Caenorhabditis elegans: one gene and its partners. The protein of the gene in region 3 interacts with the protein of the main gene of each other region in a pairwise test. Each region holds a gene or a part of one and is shown on either strand. Other genes may lie near its edges. The genes, in order: vps-45, pas-1, syx-16 and vps-52.

The links.
Region 1: the proteins of syx-16 (region 3) and vps-45 interact in a two-hybrid assay, tested with the Caenorhabditis elegans proteins (one study listed by BioGRID).
Region 2: the proteins of syx-16 (region 3) and pas-1 interact in a two-hybrid assay, tested with the Caenorhabditis elegans proteins (3 studies listed by BioGRID).
Region 4: the proteins of syx-16 (region 3) and vps-52 interact in a two-hybrid assay, tested with the Caenorhabditis elegans proteins (one study listed by BioGRID).

What each region holds. Positions count from the first base shown.
Region 1 is NC_003284.9:970,035-976,617, reverse strand, and holds vps-45 (Vacuolar protein sorting-associated protein 45), read left to right. Parts: upstream 1-1,769; 5' UTR 1,770-1,865; coding exon 1,866-1,958; intron 1,959-2,349; coding exon 2,350-2,548; intron 2,549-2,595; coding exon 2,596-2,660; intron 2,661-2,834; coding exon 2,835-3,010; intron 3,011-3,580; coding exon 3,581-4,076; intron 4,077-4,123; coding exon 4,124-4,213; intron 4,214-4,734; coding exon 4,735-4,827; intron 4,828-4,876; coding exon 4,877-4,983; intron 4,984-5,334; coding exon 5,335-5,457; intron 5,458-5,503; coding exon 5,504-5,653; intron 5,654-5,842; coding exon 5,843-5,894; 3' UTR 5,895-6,035; downstream 6,036-6,583. Other genes in the region: Protein abhd-3.2, read left to right, coding at 189-336, 385-451, 715-878; C44C1.6 (Neuropeptide-Like Protein), read left to right, coding at 6,477-6,579.
Region 2 is NC_003283.11:14,421,021-14,424,540, reverse strand, and holds pas-1 (Proteasome subunit alpha type-6), read left to right. Parts: upstream 1-1,922; coding exon 1,923-1,994; intron 1,995-2,043; coding exon 2,044-2,380; intron 2,381-2,438; coding exon 2,439-2,770; 3' UTR 2,771-2,975; downstream 2,976-3,520. Other genes in the region: rrsr-1 (Ribosome biogenesis regulatory protein homolog), read left to right, coding at 1-429, 483-645; rpoa-12 (DNA-directed RNA polymerase subunit), read left to right, coding at 1,243-1,369, 1,418-1,535, 1,597-1,711; dhs-22 (DeHydrogenases, Short chain), read left to right, coding at 3,114-3,202, 3,251-3,377, 3,501-3,520. UniProt on the Caenorhabditis elegans protein: The proteasome is a multicatalytic proteinase complex which is characterized by its ability to cleave peptides with Arg, Phe, Tyr, Leu, and Glu adjacent to the leaving group at neutral or slightly basic pH.
Region 3 is NC_003281.10:5,207,027-5,211,041, forward strand, and holds syx-16 (t-SNARE coiled-coil homology domain-containing protein), read right to left. Parts: upstream 2,084-4,015; 5' UTR 1,905-2,083; intron 1,858-1,904; coding exon 1,689-1,857; intron 1,560-1,688; coding exon 1,301-1,559; intron 1,251-1,300; coding exon 1,109-1,250; intron 1,062-1,108; coding exon 808-1,061; intron 763-807; coding exon 597-762; 3' UTR 541-596; downstream 1-540.
Region 4 is NC_003284.9:7,563,438-7,568,699, reverse strand, and holds vps-52 (Vacuolar protein sorting-associated protein 52 homolog), read right to left. Parts: upstream 3,378-5,262; 5' UTR 3,370-3,377; coding exon 3,213-3,369; intron 3,171-3,212; coding exon 3,052-3,170; intron 2,990-3,051; coding exon 2,894-2,989; intron 2,852-2,893; coding exon 2,621-2,851; intron 2,567-2,620; coding exon 2,333-2,566; intron 2,283-2,332; coding exon 2,076-2,282; intron 2,026-2,075; coding exon 1,900-2,025; intron 1,791-1,899; coding exon 1,509-1,790; intron 1,461-1,508; coding exon 1,070-1,460; intron 1,023-1,069; coding exon 904-1,022; intron 852-903; coding exon 705-851; 3' UTR 555-704; downstream 1-554. Other genes in the region: Apyrase apy-1, read left to right, coding at 1-237, 319-432; sto-1 (Stomatin-1), read right to left, coding at 4,247-4,433, 4,482-4,600, 4,674-4,937, 4,984-5,058, 5,110-5,262. UniProt on the Caenorhabditis elegans protein: Acts as a component of the GARP complex that is involved in retrograde transport from early and late endosomes to the trans-Golgi network (TGN). The GARP complex facilitates tethering as well as SNARE complex assembly at the Golgi.

The DNA of each region.
Region 1 (6,583 bases), on a different chromosome or scaffold from region 3:
TGGCATTGAGAAAATTTGAGGAGACATGAGCAGGCCCTGTGCTCAAAGAGCTGGCAAGCTTCTCATTAAGTGATTGGTTTTTGCGCGTTAATTTGAAGCAATTCCTTTACGCCCAAATTTTTAGTATTTCCTGCTAAGCTATTAATGAACCAAACCCCTGAGTTCATAAGTAGCTCCCACAATTCCAGGTACCGCGAGCTATTCAAAGATATGGTGGATTTTGACGAAGTGTGCAGATGCAATACGGTTAGAGGGTTTGATCGATCTTTTGTGATTCCCATGTATGGGTTCAAGAGTTGCGATGACTATTACAGACAGGCTACTTTGGCGACAAAGGTAACATTTGAAACTTGGTTTGTAAAAATTTGAAAAATCAATTTCCAGGTAGACAAAATCAAGATTCCATGTGTAACACTGAATTCTGTTGATGATTATTTCAGCCCGGTGGAATGTAAGTTTTGGTTTGAACAGCTTTGAAAACTAATGTTCATATACAAACATGAGTGCTTGCTACGTTTCTCTAGTTCATAATTAGACGTGTTTGCTCTACGGTAATAACAGCAACCGACACATTGCGGGTTGCAAAAAATTATAAAACGTGTGGAATTTTTATGAAATATATATTAAATATGTAATTGAAAAGCTAGTTTTCTAATTACATTTTTTAAACAAAATACCAAATTTAATAATTATTCATACATTTCCCCTATTTAGGCATCCCTACATTAGATATAATGGAGAGCGACTACGTTTGCGGTATTATCACCAATCACGGAGGACATACTGCTTTCATGGAGTCTGCTGATCCAAATGCGCGCGGAATGGTGGAAAAGTTGCTCTCGCAATGGGGAAATATGATCTTCCATGATTATTCATGAGCTTTGATGGATTGTGCAATGTTTTCAAATTATACGTATTATTTTTGTATTATTAGGACTATTACACTTTTTGAACAATATCAGGTTTTTCAGTACATCCCGGTTTTTTATTATTATTGTGATTTTAATTTAATTTTTTAAATGTGCAAAGAGTTAATGGTTGCAGATATGACTAGATGAAACTCTTTTTTTGTCAAATAAAAACTTCAAACACGAATTGAAAATAGTGTAAAATTAATATTTGGCTGCAGTTTCATGTGAACGAAAAATTGTGTTATGTCCTTCAAATTAGAACCAGCCACCTTGCATTGAATAGTCATAAATCTGTGAAGTTTGCGTTAAGCTGGAGCTTTGGTAAAACCCTACCATAAGTACAGGGAACAATTTTGAAAAGCTCTGATACGAGTTAATTATTTTAGTACCAGCCGTGGACCGCACCTACGGCGCGGCCCCCGACTTTTTTGAGAAAACACATTAGATATACGGTGTCTATCGCGGACCTCGATCGATGTCTGCTGCGCATTTAGCATAAGGTTTCCCAAAATTTCGTTGCTCTGATCGGAGATCAAACTACATAGGGACAGAAGGACACGCGCTTTATATATAGTAAATGATAATTGTTGTCCTAGTACATCACGCATACGGATAATAATTCTTATACATATTTCATAGACTTTTGTTCAGGACCAAGTTAGTATAATGAAAAATTGGAGAAGATTCAGTTTTCTTCAGATTTTCTCCGACAGAATGCAAATTCTCCTGCTCTACTTCTGCTCCACTTTTCCACTTTTTCCATCTTTCCTCACTCTCCACAGCCTTCCTCCGTCTACGTCTCCACTAGCCTAGCCATCTCTCAAAATCGATGCTGGCACTGGACACTCACCCGACGCGGTGACAGAGACGGCCGCGGCCTAGAGTTCTCCATTTCTTTTCTTTTACCATATGTTTTTATACACGTTGGCCACTAGCTCTTTCTACTAATCAACCATGGATCTCGTGCAGTCAAGCCGAAAATTGATACAGGACATGATCCAACTTGCCGGCTCGCAGATGAAATTACTACTTATGGATGGGGAAACAGTGAGTTGATTTGAAAGTGTAAAAATGTAATTATTCGGTTAGGAAAAATAATTAAAACTTGTGTCAAAAAGTTATACTAAAACGTAAATTAACAACACGTTTTGCAAATTTTTCAGTAACATTTATGTCTATTTTTGAATTACTTAATCTAACAAAATAATAAATAATAAATATAATAAACACTTAAAATATAGAGGAAATCCAAAAATGAGCAAAACGTATTGTATATTCACAATAGCCTAAATGTTTATTATGAATTTATATCAGCTATAGATTTTTAATAAAGTTAATGCTTAGATTAGTATGAAAAATCATATAAACATACAATTTTAAATGATGAGTAGTTTTTTCACACGTTTTCAAATAAAATCAACGCTAAATTTTTTTCCAGACTCCAACAGTGTCATGCGCATTTGCGCAGTCGGAGGTGATGCAAAAAGAAGTTTATATATTCGATAGAATTGAGAACAAGACCTCATCTGAAAACATCAAAAACTTGAAATGCGTGGTATTCGTCCGGCCGACACCCAAAAATATTGAGCGACTGGTGAAAGAGCTCCAGGAGCCAAGATTCAGCCAGTACTATCTTTGTGAGTTTACAGAAAAAATACTAGTTTTCAATGAATATGCTTTTCAGATTTTACAAACACAATCAACAAATATGATGTGAAGCGGCTGGCTGAAGCAGACAAAAATGAGACTGTAAGTAGTACTTTTTATTATGGACAGAACTAATTTTCAAGCTGCGTGATTAAATTATGAGAATCAGAAAAAGATTTATTGCTTTCCGACAATAACTTAACGATGCAAAAAACTTTTAAGCAATACTAATACGCTATAGGATATGTCAATAGTGTATTTTTCAACAAATTCCAGGTGCGTGAGGTTCAAGAAGTGTTTCTAGATGGAGTTCCTATTCGTAAAGACTTGTTCACTCTCAACTTGACACACATCTTCGACTCATCATTCACGTTGAAAGAAGAAGCCGCTGAAAGGATCAAGTGCGGAATTATTGCGCTATTGTTGCAGTTGAAAAAGGCTCCAGCTGTTCGGTGAGAGTTTTGAAATTTCTAATTTGAAAATTGGTAAAGGATTGCGGACATTGACCTTTTTTTTGAAATTTTGGTTATTTATTAGTCATGTTCATGCTTTTTTATAAAGGTATCTCAATTTAGAGAGTGTTCGCAGCTTTTAATTCTAAAGATTGATTCAATTTCTCTAAAACTGATCCCTAAAATATACGATTGAGAAAAAAAATTCATTCGTTTGTTTTTGTCTTTGGTCTACAAGTAGTATCCAATTGCGTGACTGCTTTTGTTTTTCGTCTTGTACCCAATTTCCTTGTTCTAAACAAAAAGAAGTCTTTACCCCAACAATACGATTGTATGATAAATTAATTTGCACATATACATACATATCATAACTATCGCGCAGCTGAAAATTGGCACTACATCGCTTGAGCAGAAGTGTGCTGCAATCAGAAATTTTTGGCAATGCTTGTAATTGTTAGACATAACACGCTGTAGTTTTGTTTTTATTGTAATCTGGGAGCTGCTACATGCGAAAAACTGTATGCAATTGTCACTACTTTGTTGCATACTTTTACAATGTTTTTTTTTCAGATACCAAAAGTCTTCACCGAGTTGCAAAAAAGTGGCCGATGATGTAGCACAATTCATTCGCCGGGAAAACGGGCTTTTCGAAAACTCTAGAGCTGACACCACTCTTCTGATTATTGAAAGATCCCAGGACGCGGTGACTCCTCTGCTCAACCAATGGACGTATGAAGCGATGATCCATGAAATGCTCACATTGACAAATAACAGATGCACATGTACTGATCAGAACATTGTGCTCAGCGAGCTTCACGATGAATTTTTTGCGAGAAATATTACTGCCAACTTTGGAGAAATCGGGCAAAATATCAAGACGTTGATCAGCGAGTTTCAGGAGAAAAAGCATATTAACAAGAATTTGGAGTCGATTCAGGATATGAAAAAGTTTGTGGAAGACTATCCACAGTTTAAGAAGATCAGTGGAACAGTGTCGAAACACGTCAGCCTTGTAGGCGAACTTAGTAATCTTGTTCAGAAGCATAATTTATTAGGAGTCTCAGAGGTAATACAGTTTAAAAAAACGTGTCAAAACGTAGAAAGTGGTTTCAGGTAGAGCAGGCAATTGTGTCAGATGGGGATCATGGCAAATGTATCAATCTTGTTCGAGGACTGCTGAAAAATACGAAAACCAGAGAAGTGGTGAGTAACAGTAACATACACCGCAAAAAAATCCGGAATGAACATTTTTAGATTCTGAATGCCAAAACAAACACGAGAAAATACTGAGATTTGTTATCGCAAATGACCAATTACCGTATTTCCTTTATTAGTCTTGCATGCAAAACTAATTTTCAATTGGTCCGTAGGGGTGCAAGACTAATAGAGGCTGCAAGACTAATAGATGAAATACGGTATATATTTTCGCCAACGTGGTGCTCAGGAAAGGATTTTGTTTCCTGTATCCTATAATTTTAAGTAAATTCATTAGCTACTTTAAAATTAGATACTACAGCTTCAACAAACTAGGAAAAATAGCTGGTCATTTAGTCAGTGCAAACATAAGTTTGGTCAGTGCATACGCAAATTTTTTTTTTCAAGGCACACAACACTGAAGTGTGTGCTATATTTTTAAAAAATTTATTTTGTTAAATGATACATAGAAGTATATAATTATATTTTTAATTGAATTTAGTTATCACGATCAGTACACCCATTTTCAGGACATCATCCGTCTTGTGCTTCTCTACGCTCTTCGTTTCGAAAACGCACCCGGCAACGAATTAAACTCATTGATCAGTCAACTCAGACCACAGGTAGGCAACTGGTGTATTCTGGGTTTAAAAAAATTTCATGCTTTTTCAGCATCCAAAAATCCATCAAACGGTGTCGACGCTGCTCAAATATGGTGGACTTTCAAGGAGACCTGCCGATTTGTTTGGTGGTGAATCGACTATTGACATTACGAAGAGGTGAGCAACAGTGAATCAGCGTAATCAAATATTTGGGCTGAAATCTGGGCTTAGTTTCGGTTGATTTGGCGGCTTCAGCAATTTCTGATTTGGTTCAATTTTATCCGTTACTAGTTGTCTAAATCAGAATTTCGAATTAATTTTTGTCTACAGTAAGCAAATTTAGCGATTAAAAACTGCTTTATTTATAAAAGAATTACAAATGAGTTTTGCAACAAAAAATATTAATTCATTTGACCAGAAATTTATTGACACCTCTAATAATTTGACAAAACTGACTGAACATTAGTAGCACTAAAGAAAGACTCAAGATTTACAAAAGGTACATGGTATTCTACCTATAATTTTCAGGTTCATCAAAGGACTCAAAGGAGTTGAGAACATTTACACCCAGCATTCGCCGTATCTCAAGAACATGATCGAGTCTTGCCAGCGTGGGAGGCTTGACAACTACCCGCTTCTTAGCAATGAATGGTAAGTTCTAGATCTACTATAATGCTTCAAGCTACTCAATTTTCAGCGACCGAATGGATAATATTATTGTGTTTATTGTGGGTGGAGCCACATATGAGGAGGCGGCTTATGTGAGAAGCTTGAATGAAAAGCGGATGCAAGGATACGGAGGGCCTGCTGTTGTTCTAGCTGGGAGTAGCATGCTAAATACAAAATCGTGAGTATACAGGCTTTAAAATGAAACCACGTCCCCGGTAAAAAATGTTTTGGCTAAGCGGGCAGACATTAAGCAGTAATTCTGTCGTTTTTCGATTAATGGGTATACTTAATGCTATAATACTAATTTCAATTGGCTATTGCATTTGTTATGGTTCTGTAGTGAATGGAAAATAAGTTAAATTTACAGATTCCTCGAAGAGTTTGCCAACGTCGACAAAAATACGGGAGCTGTTCACTGAATATCTCAAAAGTTTCAAAACTTCTCGCAGAGTCTATTTATTGATTTAATTGAATTGTCATCTTTTCTTGTGATATATTGAGCTTCTTTATGAAATTGCTTTTTTTAAAATGAATATGTACTGTGTACAGTGCCACCACTAACGGTCTCCCTATTGGCTCAGCCGCTGTTAAGCCGTGGAGAGGCCTACCGCTTGGCTTTTGAGTAAGTTGAAGCATGTTTGGAAGCTTTTTGATCAACCGAATTTACCAGAGGCATTTACAAAGAAACACTTTTTCAAAAATATTTCCTATACGTGAATTTATCATTTCAAAACCGTGTCGTTTTGAAAACCCAAACACACCCAAAAATAGTGTGTGTCCTTTGCCAATAGTGAATAACAGATATATGCGCTAATTTGCTAACCAAACTGGCGCCGTTTCGTTTATACTGTCAGTGAATTGTAGTGTTAGGTGGTGCGTGACTGGCTGACCAAGACAACAAAAATTCTTGATATCATTCGTCAAGAGAAACAAAACCTTAAAGCGAAACACCTTCGAAAAACCTTTTTAGTGTGATTTATCACTTGACTTCAACTTGAACAATGGACTACTACTTCAAACTTATCTCTGTAGTTTTTATCGTAATTTTGGCTATCCAATCGCAGGCTTTTCCCATTGAAGAGACTTCGCTAGGAAGTATTAATGGTAC
Region 2 (3,520 bases), on a different chromosome or scaffold from region 3:
TGACAACGCAGAAGATCCGAACAAGGATTTCTTTGCTGAGAGACGCGAAAAGAAGAAGGAGAGAGTTGCAAAGAACGATATGCAGAGAATGAAGAATCTTGCTCGTCAGATGAAGACAACAGTCAAGAGCGGTCCATCGACAGAAAAGATGATCGGAGTAGGAGTCGATGCCAAGGAAAAATCAAAGCAACAAGTTCGTTTCGCAGTGGATCGTGCAAAGCTTGCCACAGCTTCCGCTGGAAAGTTCCAGGAAGGATTGAAGGGAGAGAAGGCCAACGTGAAAACTGGCAAGAAGAGAAAGTTCGAAGCCAACGAAGCTCCAGTTTCTGGCGAGAAAGAACGTGCTCTCCAGATTCTTCAACGAATGAAGTCAAAGAAAGCAAAGATTGTTGAAGAAAAGGCTGCTGCAGTTGCTGGACCTTTGAGAGAGTGAGTAGTGAGAAAATTAGGCCTTTATCGTTATTCAATTCAATTAATTTCAGGAAGAAGGAAAAATCGGAGAGGAAAGGTGCTAAAGATCAAACAAGACAGAAGAGTCAGATTCACAGACAACAGTGGTTCAAAAACAAGGTCGACGGCAAGAAGAAGGGTACTGGTGGTGCTGGAAAGAAGGGAGCCAACAAGGCCAAAGCAAGAAAGGGATAATCTATGTTCTTGTTTTTTATTCAAATTTGTTGATTTTGATTCGTTTATTTTTTTTGTTACTTTCTTTTTTATTCATCAAATTTTAACATTCAATAAATAAATGTTCTGTTAAGTAGAAAATGTTACTTTTCTTCATGAAATGATGTTTTAGTTCTCGATTGTGAATTTACCTGGGATAGGTTATTTTATTAAATTTGTTCAGAGTTTTATATAATCCCAATTATTTTTCTCTGGCATGTTTTTTTTTTCTCTGAATGTAAGAAAGCCAACATTGATTCGCGATTTTCAAATCTATGAAATTAATAGGCGGAGTTTTCTTTGCCAGATCCAGCAACTCGGCCATCTTTCAAACCAAGATAAGTGATTTTAGATCATTTAACAATTTGCCTGTCAAGACTTAATATTTTCTCAACTAGTAAAGTGCTGTTCCCATTTACTCAGCAATCTGTTTCTTCGAAAGTCACAAATCGGTAGTGTCTCAATTTCCAAGCGTGCTCCATCGCACTCCCTTTAAATTTTGTCATCTTTTCGGCGTTCTCATCATTTTTCAACCTTCAACAATATATTTTAGTCGAAACTTCATTAATTCAGCTTAAAATGGCTTTGAACTTCCTCTCATACGACGATGACTTTTGTGGATATTGCGGCGCCATCTTGGAACTACCGGCACAGGCTCCAGCGACGGTCTCCTGCAAAGTATGCTCAACTCGATGGGCTGTGAAAGGTTTCCTGCTTTTAAGATGAATATATTCTAATTTTAAAATGTTTTCAGAAAGAGTAGATCAAGTGGTTAGCCGTGTCGAAAAGATCTACGAACGAACGGTTGCTGATACAGATGGAATTGAAAATGACGAGTCAGCGGATGCTGTTGTTGATCATATTTGCACAAAGTAAGAATATTTCCGGGGATTTTGAAACTGAGAAAGACTGAAACTAATTTCCAACTTTAAGGTGCGGTCACTCAAAGGCATCATATTCTACTATGCAAACGAGATCTGCAGATGAAGGACAAACAGTATTCTATACATGCCTGAAATGCAAGAAGAAGGATATCGAATATTCTTGATAACCTTTCGAGTCTTTATTTTTCAAATCAGATTTTTATTTCTGTTGTTATATATTGTTGAATTTTTGTTTTTGTTTCCTGAATATTCCATTAAGTTTCTTTTTATTCGTTTTTTTTTTCATTTTATTGGTACACTGGTCAATAACCAGATTTCCTATCTTTATCGGTTTTCAAATTAATGGTTGATTTCCACTTTAAAATTTATGTTTAGATGTCTCGTGGAAGCAGCGCCGGATTCGATCGTCATATTACCATCTTCTCTCCAGAAGGACGTGTTTATCAGGTTATAAAATAATAGTTGAATGTTTATAACTTTCCATGCTTGCTTCCAGGTCGAGTATGCCTTCAAAGCAATCAACTCTACCAATCTGACGGCTGTCGCAGTCAAGGGAGCTGATGCAGCTGTCATTGCCGTTCAAAAGCGTGTTCCAGACAGTCTCATCGTCGCTGATACCGTCACTTCGGTTTATCAAATCTCTCAGTCTGTTGGATGCTGCGCCATTGGAATGATCCCGGATGCTAAATTCCAAATCAAGCGTGCACAGGGAGAAGCTGCTAGCTGGAAGTACAAGAACGGCTACGATATGCCATGCGAGCTTCTCGCCAAAAAGATGGCTGATCTCAACCAGTATTACACACAAAATGCGGAGATGCGTAGTTTGGGATGTGGTTAGTAGAAAAATTTCCGAATTCTCTAACTTCAATTATTACAATTACTCAATTTCAGCTCTTTTGTTCATTTCCTACGATGACGAGAAAGGACCAGAAGTTTATCGTGTTGACCCCGCTGGATACTACCGTGGTATGAAAGGAGTATCTGTTGGAGTGAAACAACTTCCAGCGACCTCATTCTTGGAAAAGAAAATTAAGAAGAAGTCCGAATTGACATCCACAGAAGCTATTGAACTCGCCATTGAGGCTCTTCAGACTTCATTGGGAATCGACGTTCGTTCCAAGGATCTTGAGGTTGTCGTTGTCACCAAGGATAACTCCAAATTCACCAAGCTAACCAGCGATCAGGTCGAACATCATCTCAATCAAATCGCCAACCGAGATTAAATATTCATCGACCTTTGTATTTAAATATTTCCCGTTTCAATTGATCCGGTACCCAAATTGAATTAAATACCTGGTTTCCCTTTTCTAAATTTATTTATTGTTTTCTTTACTCCCTGTTTCTCGGTCTTTTTTATCATTGCCCTCCGCCCCTTTCTCTTTTGAAACTATTTATTTATCACTAAAAATCATGATAAAATGATTTTTGAAACACTTCATATTATTCATGTTGACTTTGATGGTGGTTTCGCAATCCCTGTTATTTATTTTTTAGTACGAATTCATTGAAGAAAACTGCAAGTTAAAAAAATTATACATTCAAAGTTTTAACAGACCATCTATTAAAATGGATGGTGCAGATGCTGAAGAACATGGAGGATTCCTCTTTTTTGTGCTCGCTTCATCCGTAGTTTTTATTGTGCTCTTTTTCACAAGGTAATCGATATTTCACGATAGCTAAAACTATAATCTAAAATATTTCAGACGTTACTTTAAAGGAGGTCAATTCAATGAAAGAGTCTCTGCAAAGGGATTAGTAGCCGTTGTGACCGGTTCTAATTGTGGAATTGGATTCGAGACAGTTCGGGAACTTAATTTGAGGAAAGCTGATGTGAGTTACAGAACTAATTGCATTGTTATAATTAATTGCTAATTACTAATTACATAAATTGCATTTGTTTCTAAACAATGCTATCCATATTTAAGTTATCAAGAATAATCTAATTTTTTCCAGGTCTATATGCTGTGCAGAAG
Region 3 (4,015 bases):
AACAGAGGACAAATGGAATTTTGTGGGCCATTCGAAACACTTTAGGCCAATGCAGCATATATCCGGTATTAAAAAGCCATTATTTGCGCCCAAAAGAAAAAAATCGTGAAAGGAAAACACAACAACAACATTTTTCGAAATATCTCGCCCAAAAGCTCCGCGACGCGTGCTGCGGGCGGTCCGAAATGCGGCCTGGGTCTCGAAGCGACAAGTGTTACGGTAGTCAATTTCAAGGCTTTTGGCGGAAAGAGAAAGAAAAATTGGCTTTGGCGTTAATCAGTTGATTTTAAACGAATTTAGACGGAAGAAAATGACTAAATTATCAGAGGAATTCGAAGAGTAACATGATCCGAGTGAAAATGCGGCAACATAATGAATCCCTGCTCTAGAGTGATGTGCACGAGTTTTATATAGAGAACATTTTTAATTACAGATTAAGTAGTGGAAGAATTTTAAATTTGAATAAAACAAGGAAATATCTGCATTACGGAATCTAACCGGAATCTAAAATTAGAATTTCATTGATTGAACTAGAGAAATCAATAAAATACCCGGTTTATTCAAAAAATATAAATAAAACTACTGAAGTAAAAGAATTACAATTTAGTAACAATAATAAGAATCAGTACAAAAATAATGGCAACAGTGAGCATACAAATACAATGCATTTTTTTGTTTCCTTTTTGATATCGTTCCGCTTTGAAGACATCTTCAACTGCTTTCGACACACGAATCGAGGTCTGTTCAACATTATAGTCTATTCTGAAATTAAAATTTACTATAATTGACCTTAAAGCTTCGTTTTACCTATCAATGACGCTTCCTTGATCTACAATCATTTCTGATAAATCCTGGAAGAGTGTATTTAATTCTCTAATTGATGTGTTCACAGCCATCACTTCCTTTTCGCGCTCTCGAACTTCTCGATCGTTATTCATAAATTGTTGAAGCTGGGCCATTGATATTTCTGTAGATGGTGACACATCTAGCTCAGCCCAATTGGGAGCATCAATCAGTGGATCTGTTGTGATAAGGTAATTGTCCACGTTACGGGAACGATTCTGAAACAATTTTGATGTGCTGAATGAAACTTTTTCAAATCGCTTACCTGGATATCACTCAAATATTTCAGTTGTCTTCCTCTAAATTCATCGGTAATTTGGCTAAGTGTTAGGCTCAGGGTTGCAGCAGCATTTTCTCTTAACTTTCGCTGCATAGGTTTTTCTTTGTTATGACTTCCAGATATCATTCTGGAAAATTTTGAATTACCTAAGTCAAACCGAGTCTGTAAATAACAAACCTGATTAGCCTTTGACAATGTGTGAGCATTTGAGTGATTTGCTCCGTCGTCTGTTCCATTTGCTTCTCTTCTTTTTCGAATGCTTCATCTCCAAAATTAGGTCGCGAAATGTGTTTTCTCTGTGCCTCTCCAAGTTCATCTAGTCTTCTCTGAACTCTTTCAACTTCGAATTCTACTTGATCAGCAGTATGAATCCAAACTGGCTCTTCATCGGATTCTTGTCGCCCATCTTCAAGTTCCACTAAGGCCATTCGTTCTTCTGAAAAATACATTATTGCAGACTGCAATTCGCAGTACAGAATTTGATCATTTGAAAAGAAGAGATTTTAGAAAAACCTATTTAATAAAAGTCATTTAATGAATATTTGAACCAATTCAGAATACTCACCATCACCACGACTCCTCACAATTATATCTGTATCATCTTTATAAATTAATCGACTTTGATGAGCATTTGAACGTAAAAGCATAAAAACTTCTGTCAAATTTCTCGTTGTTCCGTAAATTTCATTTTTCTTTGCAGCATTTGCAGCAGCGGTAACAGAAGAGGAAGCCATCTGGAAAAAATCAATAAAATGCTAGAATAAAAACGTTGCAAATTTACTTCCAGAGTGACGTTATCCAGCGAACGACATCAATTTGGAGAGGAAAAAGGGGAATGTGCGATGGAGCGTGTTTACTTTGGAATTTTCTTGCATATCGGCTGCGATAAATGGAAAGAAAAAAAGTTGCCGGCGAGCGAAAGAATCATTCAACCCACATTTATTGTTTTATGAAAAGCCTGAACGCAAAATTTTGCGATTTCAGCTCCGAAAATACGACGCCCGGTCTCGACACGATAATATTTATTAAATGCGAAAAGGTGTGCGCCTTTAAAGGTTACTGTAGTTTGAAATTTTTCATACATAGTATTTCTCTCGAGTTGTTCAAATTCAAGTGTTTTCATATTATTTCGCTTTAGTTTTTAATAAAAAATTAAATTTTCTTCAAAACATTTAGAAAATTGATAATCAACACCAAAAGTTTAAATTTACAGTACTCTTCAAAGGTGCACACTTCTTTTATTTAACGAAAACTTGTCGTGCTGATTTTTGGCACCGAATTTTTGTGCAAAAATCGTAGATTGTAATTTTGAAAATAAATTTCTAAATTTAAAATATTAGCAACAGAAATGAAAAAATTAACAACTTTCTGAAAAACTCAGTCTGGAAAATAAAAACTAAAATATGTAGGCAAGTCGAAAATTTTGAAAACAATTTTTTTTTTCGATTCTCAAAACAGTGGAAAACAACATCCTTTGGCATTGATACATCAGACTTGACTGTTTTTAGCTTTTAATTGATAAAACACTCAAACGTATGCAACGTTTGGACCTGAAAAGCTCCCAATGACAAGATCAAAGTGAGAATGATTAGTGAATAGATATGCAGGTATGTATGAGATTGAAGCACCGATCAGACCAGGAAGCAAAGGAATAGTACTTTTAGAAGAATATTATAAGGTTTCAAATTTTATCTAAAGAATTTTTCATCTTCAATTCGTGCTCAATGACCGGTGCTAATGCTGTAAAGTCAAAAACCGCTATGGCCAATTCCGTTGGTGTAGCTCATGCTGATGTGTCCAGTGGCATTGTTCAGAAAGAAAATACGTTCGGCTGAAAACTGAAATAATTCGAAAAAAATAAATAGTAAGATTGTACACTGTGTTCGTAAAAAACAAGAACTTATTGCCAAGAAAAATTTTAGTTTTTGCAAGTCCAACGCACGTTTTTTCAGAATTTCTAAACTTTTCTTTTTCGCAAATTCTGCAAATAATCACAACACATTGTTTCTTTTCAGTGGAAATATTTTACAAAATTGGAAAAGAAAAAATTGCACTTTAAGTCTTGAAAGATGTGTGACTTTTTACATTTTATGGTGACTCAGATCAATCTTCATGCATTTCAGAATGTGAATTTACACATTCTACGAGCAGAAAAAACGGCATGCGCCTTTAAATTGTCGTATCACATTTTAAACAATAAAATTCAAAAAAGAACAAAAGTGTTTTAACGGAGGAATAATATATTTTATGATTGTGCACAAGAAAGTAGAATGCTTTACAATAATCGAACACTTTACATCGAGATGTGTGGAGGAGGCACACAAAGAAATAAATCATCTATTACGTGGACATTTAGTGATTGTATCACAATGAGAGACTTAGAAAACCAAGGTTACTGTATATTTACCCAAAAGTTCTTCAACAACGACCAATTATCAGATCGTTTTTTGAAAATTTTTTGTTGCAACATTGAAAATGCTCGAATTTCTGATCATAATTTTCAAACAGTAGTGTAAAAACGAAATTAGGGTTATTAGCCACACTGGTAAACAGTTGCTTACCAACATAAATAATTGTTTAGTTCACATGAGAGAATGATATGAAACAAAGTGAAATATATCAATCACAAAGACGACAAGTGACCCTTTAGCCGCAAAAAAGTTCGTCAGACAGCTGTTACATAACCGAATAAAATAGAAACATTTTTACAAATATCTTATATCGACAGATTGGCATCAAATATTTGAAAAATTAAATTACTAAGCGTTGTCCTTTAGTTTTCAAACTATTTTTATTGAAGAGTTAATAAAAAGTGTATTGAAATTAAAAAAGAAAAGAAAACACACACCGTAATACTGTAGTTGAAGGGTACTGTAGTTGAAAAGTTTTGCG
Region 4 (5,262 bases), on a different chromosome or scaffold from region 3:
TCTGCAATTCACAGAAAATGGTTCTTCCTTCCACGTAGAATGTCAAATGAGAAGTATTCTGAGGCGGAGGACGAGAACCGCGGAACAAACGTTCTTGTGATTGGAAATGAAGAGTTGACTGATTTTGAGGTTGTGCGAGTAGGATCGGAGAATAACAAATCCAGAGGGTTTGCTGCTTTCCAATTTGTGCCAAACACTCATCACCAGCTCATCGTTGCCATCAAGTCGGAGGAAAAGGTAAGTAACAGGTTTTATCTACACAATTTTAAAAACAAAATCCGTTAATCTCAATGCTCGGTTTATAAAATTGTATTCCAGGATGGAAAACCAGTAGCAAGTTATGCAAGTGTTTTCGACATTCATGGTAATGTTATTCTTGACGAATATCTTCTTCATGGTCCATACAAATACGAAGGAATTGCATTTGCCTAATCACTTCAATTAATGTATTTTTGTCTCAATTCCCACCTTCCAGTCAGGTCCAAATCTGTGTTCTCGATATTATGTGATTTTTGTCAAATACTATGTAATGGTTATTTAAATAAAATAAATATATAAACATTTTATTCAACATTTTTTGCATGCATAAAGCTGCCAGTGGGTAAAAATATATATAAAAAAATACTCAAGTAAGTGGGAATCAATAAATTATTTAATTTACAAAGTCTACACGGGAAAATAAAATAACATTGGCAATATTTTTCTTAATATGCTGGTTTGAACCGTTTGATTTCGAGCATCACTTGATGAACGTTGACTAACTGGGAACACACGGGATTTTTAGCAAATACGTCATGGGACAGAATCTTTGTGAATCTATTGATATACTGAACGTACTTTGTGAAGATTGTCTGAAATCATCTAGTTAAAACTGAAATTCGGCTCTAGGAAATAAATTTTAACCTGTAAAATGGTGGTTCCCAGGCTGAAGTTAGTGAAAAGTTGTATGCATTCTGAATTAATACTGTCCACTGCAGGTCTCCACTTTGCATTGAAGTTTGCTACCACCGTTCCAACTTTGTCTGAAATTAAAATATTAGAGAATAGAAAATTATATATGACAACTTGCCATTATATCGAACTAAGAGTTGTGTATGACCTTGAACAATCAGAGATTCACACTCGTTGACAAATTTAATCATGTACCCAATATGTGGCTCTAGCATCTCTTCAACAAAATCATCAATACTTTTTTGTTCAAGCTCATGGACAATTGCATAAATCTTTGTATGCTTGCTTTCCTCGTTATCGATAATCGAAAGAATAAGATCGTAATTGTTAATCAGAAAGACGTGCTTATTTTTCTGAGTTTGCTGCATAGCTGACATTCGAGTCAATAGTTGTTCAATAGAGTCTTCACTGTTCTCCAAGACAGCTTCCATCTTTGCACCCATTTCCTTTCCACTTGCTTTTGCTATCATCAAATGTGCACTTGTCAGTTCGGCGTACCGTCGGACTATCTGTAACATCTGAATTTTTTTGATTATAAAAAACAATCAAAAACTTACGAAATGCGGTCTTGCATCAAGTGAACCGCTATGCATCAACTTCTTCAAATCAACAGATTTGACACTTTCGTAGTGTTGAGACATGACCAAATTGAGGCGGGTCCAAAGGAAGCTTGTGACAGTATTCCAATAATCGCTAACTTCTGGTACCTCTCTCTCGGCGAGCACTTCGGTAAACTTGTCACATAGACAAATGCACAGATGAAGACTGATGGCGTCCCAACTAAGGGCGATTTGCTCCTCGCAGCTTTTGAGCACAACTGACATTGCTCGAGCCATAGCCTGAAAGCAATTATAAGCTTTTTTCCGGTAGTGAAAAGGCAAACAACTATTGTAAATGTAACATTACTACGTAATAGATATTAGGTCTTTCCAGGTCCTCGTAACATACCTTGTTATGCAGTTCAATGGCTTCATCATTGCTGACAAGGAAAAAGTCGGTAATAAAGAGGTACTCATGGCTGTAGTGATCGACAAATGCCAGTTGAATAGAACGAAATAGTGCTTCAAATTGATACTGAAAATATAATTTAATTTGGTCCCTACCAGTTCTATTGTAAGGTATACCGATTGATGGTTCTGCGTAGCTGCGTGGGGAACAATCAAGGCTCCTAAAAAGTCGTCAGAGAGAATTTGATGTCGTTGCCCAATCGAAAAAACGGTTGCCTTATTCCGAACAACGTGTTGTTTCGACGAGAAAATTGCGCCTAATCCAGCGGGTTTTGCAAAATCAATACTTCCCAAAGCGTCTTCTTTGGTGGCCACGTCTTTCATCTTAAATAATTACTCTGGTGAATATACTTGAAAAATGTGTCTCAACCTACCGCAAGTTTGAACAGGCGTGTGGCGTATGCTTTGAAATACGTGAAGAACATCTTGCTGATGGTGTCAATGTACTCGTCTTGAAGTTCCTTGGCAGAGATCAAGTCATGGTGCAACAGGAATTCGTAGAAAAATCGGCATTTGAGAAGCTGGTGTTGAAAAACTTGGTAGTTGGACAGAGGTTTACGGAATTGGAACATTTTCTGAAGCAACCATTCCCTCACTTTTACAACCGCCTGAAAAAAAACATTTTTGAAATGTAAACTTTTGTAAAAAAAAAAACACCCAACCTTAAGCTTTAGTCCTTCCAAAATCGGCATAGTGTCGTTTACCGCTACCGCATCTCCATTTCCCCTTTGCAAAATTAAGGTTATTTTGTGGTGTAACTCGTGGAGCGCTTCCAAAAAACCCCTGTCATTTGCATCAGTGTCGTTGATAGTTTTCATCATCGTTTGAGAAACAGCAATATCGTCTACAAATTGGCTCAGCTCGACTCTAACTTTTTGCCGGTTTTCCAGTTCCTGAGAAGATTATAGTACGTTGAAATTGGAAAATTAATTTACTTGATGAATATGATGCGACTGTAGCTGCAAATTTTTCATATCCTGCCCAATTGATCCTAGATTGTCTTGAAAACTGTACAATGTTGCTTGCAAGCGCTAAAAAGTTTAATTAAATAGTCGACTGATTTATATATTGGCAATTTTTACAATATACTTACTTCAAAAACATTATCACAATGCACAAGTTGATTATGGAGTTGAGCCAACTGCTCAGAGTTATCAAGACACTGTTGAACAGAATAACGATGTGCCTCCGATAGCCGCGTGCTGACGTCGTCTGAATTATTGATTTTTCAAATGTTGACATTTAGAGACATACTTTTCGACTCGGTTAGTCCGTCACCAGAAGCAATTGCTTTTTTCACCAAATTCGGATCTGCTTTTCGCAATTGCGATAAACAAAATTCTAGCGACGATATTGTGAAACTACGGTCATTTGCCTCGGATTTTTGCAAGTTGACACGTGTTCGAGGCATTATTTGTGCTGAAATTGTTTCAATAAAAATTTTGATGAATAACTAACGTTAATAAATAAAAAATAGCGATAAACCAAAGAAAAAACAATTGGTAACACGTCGTTAAACGATGCTCCGCTTTTTACACCCCGCGCGGTGTTTAGAATAATGGTGTGCTTGTGTGCGAGGAAGGCGAGGAAAATGCTCGCCAAGGAGGTTATGCAGAACAATTGGAAAAATGAGAATGTGTGGATTTTTGAATTTTTATAGAGAATTTAATTTATCTATTTGGTATATTTTTGACAATTCGCTACGAGAAATCTAAAACACTATTAAATCTTCAAACCCCAACAATATTGAAATTTGGATTTTTGTTTAGTGAAAAAATAAGTGAAAATATGAATTTTTCTGATCAAAGACTTTCATAATAATTGGTGAAAACCTAGTTTTCAGCGCATTAGGCTCGAAATAAAAAATTTCTCAAAACTTTTTGAATCCTTCGATTCAAATATTTCCCGTTTTACAAAAAATTAGACAAATTTCTAAACTATATGGCTTCCTTCATTTTCTTGGAAAAATACACTTGAAAAATACAATGGAACGTGGAGAATCATATATATATTATTATTATGATGAGAAAAATGACTGAAAAAATTTGGAGCAAAATCGGAAGTCTTTCAGACAACCTCTCAAAGATATGCCTTGACAACCGATATGTGCAATTTGGAAGTGAATGAGGTGGAAATCGAGTATAAATATTAAGTGTTATACAGTTGAATAATACAGTTTAATAGTTAAAAAAAAATACTTCAAACAGGAAAGAGATTATCAATATGCTTCGAGTTGATCCTTGTTTTGTTTTTTGACGAAACTGTAGCTCATTTTGCGTTGCTTGGAATCAGAGTCGGCTTCCTGAGGAAGATGCGGTGGCTGGAACTGTATCCTGACGTTGAATGGATTGAAGGGCGGCATTCATCATTTCTTGAACTGGAAAGTTCTGAGATGTGCCTCCTGAACCAACCTTGCTGATTCCTCCGAGAATCTCCATTGGGAACGGGAAGATGATTGTGCTGGTTTTCTCGGAACTGAAATTTTATTTTGTTAGTTAAAAGTTGATAGTGCGCTTCCATTACCTGATAGCATTGAGTGTGTGCAGATATCGAAGCTGCATGGCTCCCTCGCTTTTTGAAATGATGGTGGCGGCTTCAGCAAGAGCGGCAGATGCTCTTAATTCTCCTTCGGCAGCGATAATCTGAAATTAATTGCAATCGAAATTAATAATTATTGGTCCCCCGCATTTTGCTATGCTCATCATGTCGGCTCACCTTTGCTCCAGCATCACGAGTAGCCTCGGCTTCAGCAGCCATAGCACGTTGCATTTGAGATGGAAGACGGACATCGCGAAGCTCGACACGTTCAACCTTGATTCCCCATGGCTCTGTAGCTTCATCGAGCGAGATTTTCATGTCGGCGGAGATTTTCTCACGGTCGGATAGAATTTCTGAAAGGGTATGGGTACCGAGAATTGTACGGAGGGTGGTTTGAGCCAAAAGTTTGGTAGAGTCGGTCGCATTGCCAACTCCGACGACCTAAAAATTCCAAATTAGATTGAACCGTACCAGCTGTTTAGTTTACCGAAGTGATTGGGTCAAACACCTTGAAGTAGACAACTGCGTCAACAGAAACGGTAACCGAATCGCGAGACAGAATCTGAAGAGAGAAAGATTATATCACAGTGAGCAGGTGTGTTGCGCAACATACCTCTTGTGAAGGGACATTGTACGATGCCACACGCAGATCGATATTCAAGAAAGTATCAATACAAGGTATGATGAAGAAGATTCCGGGACCTTTGACGTCAGGAACAAGACGTCCCAAACGGAAAACTACAGCACGTTGGTATTCCTGAACAAT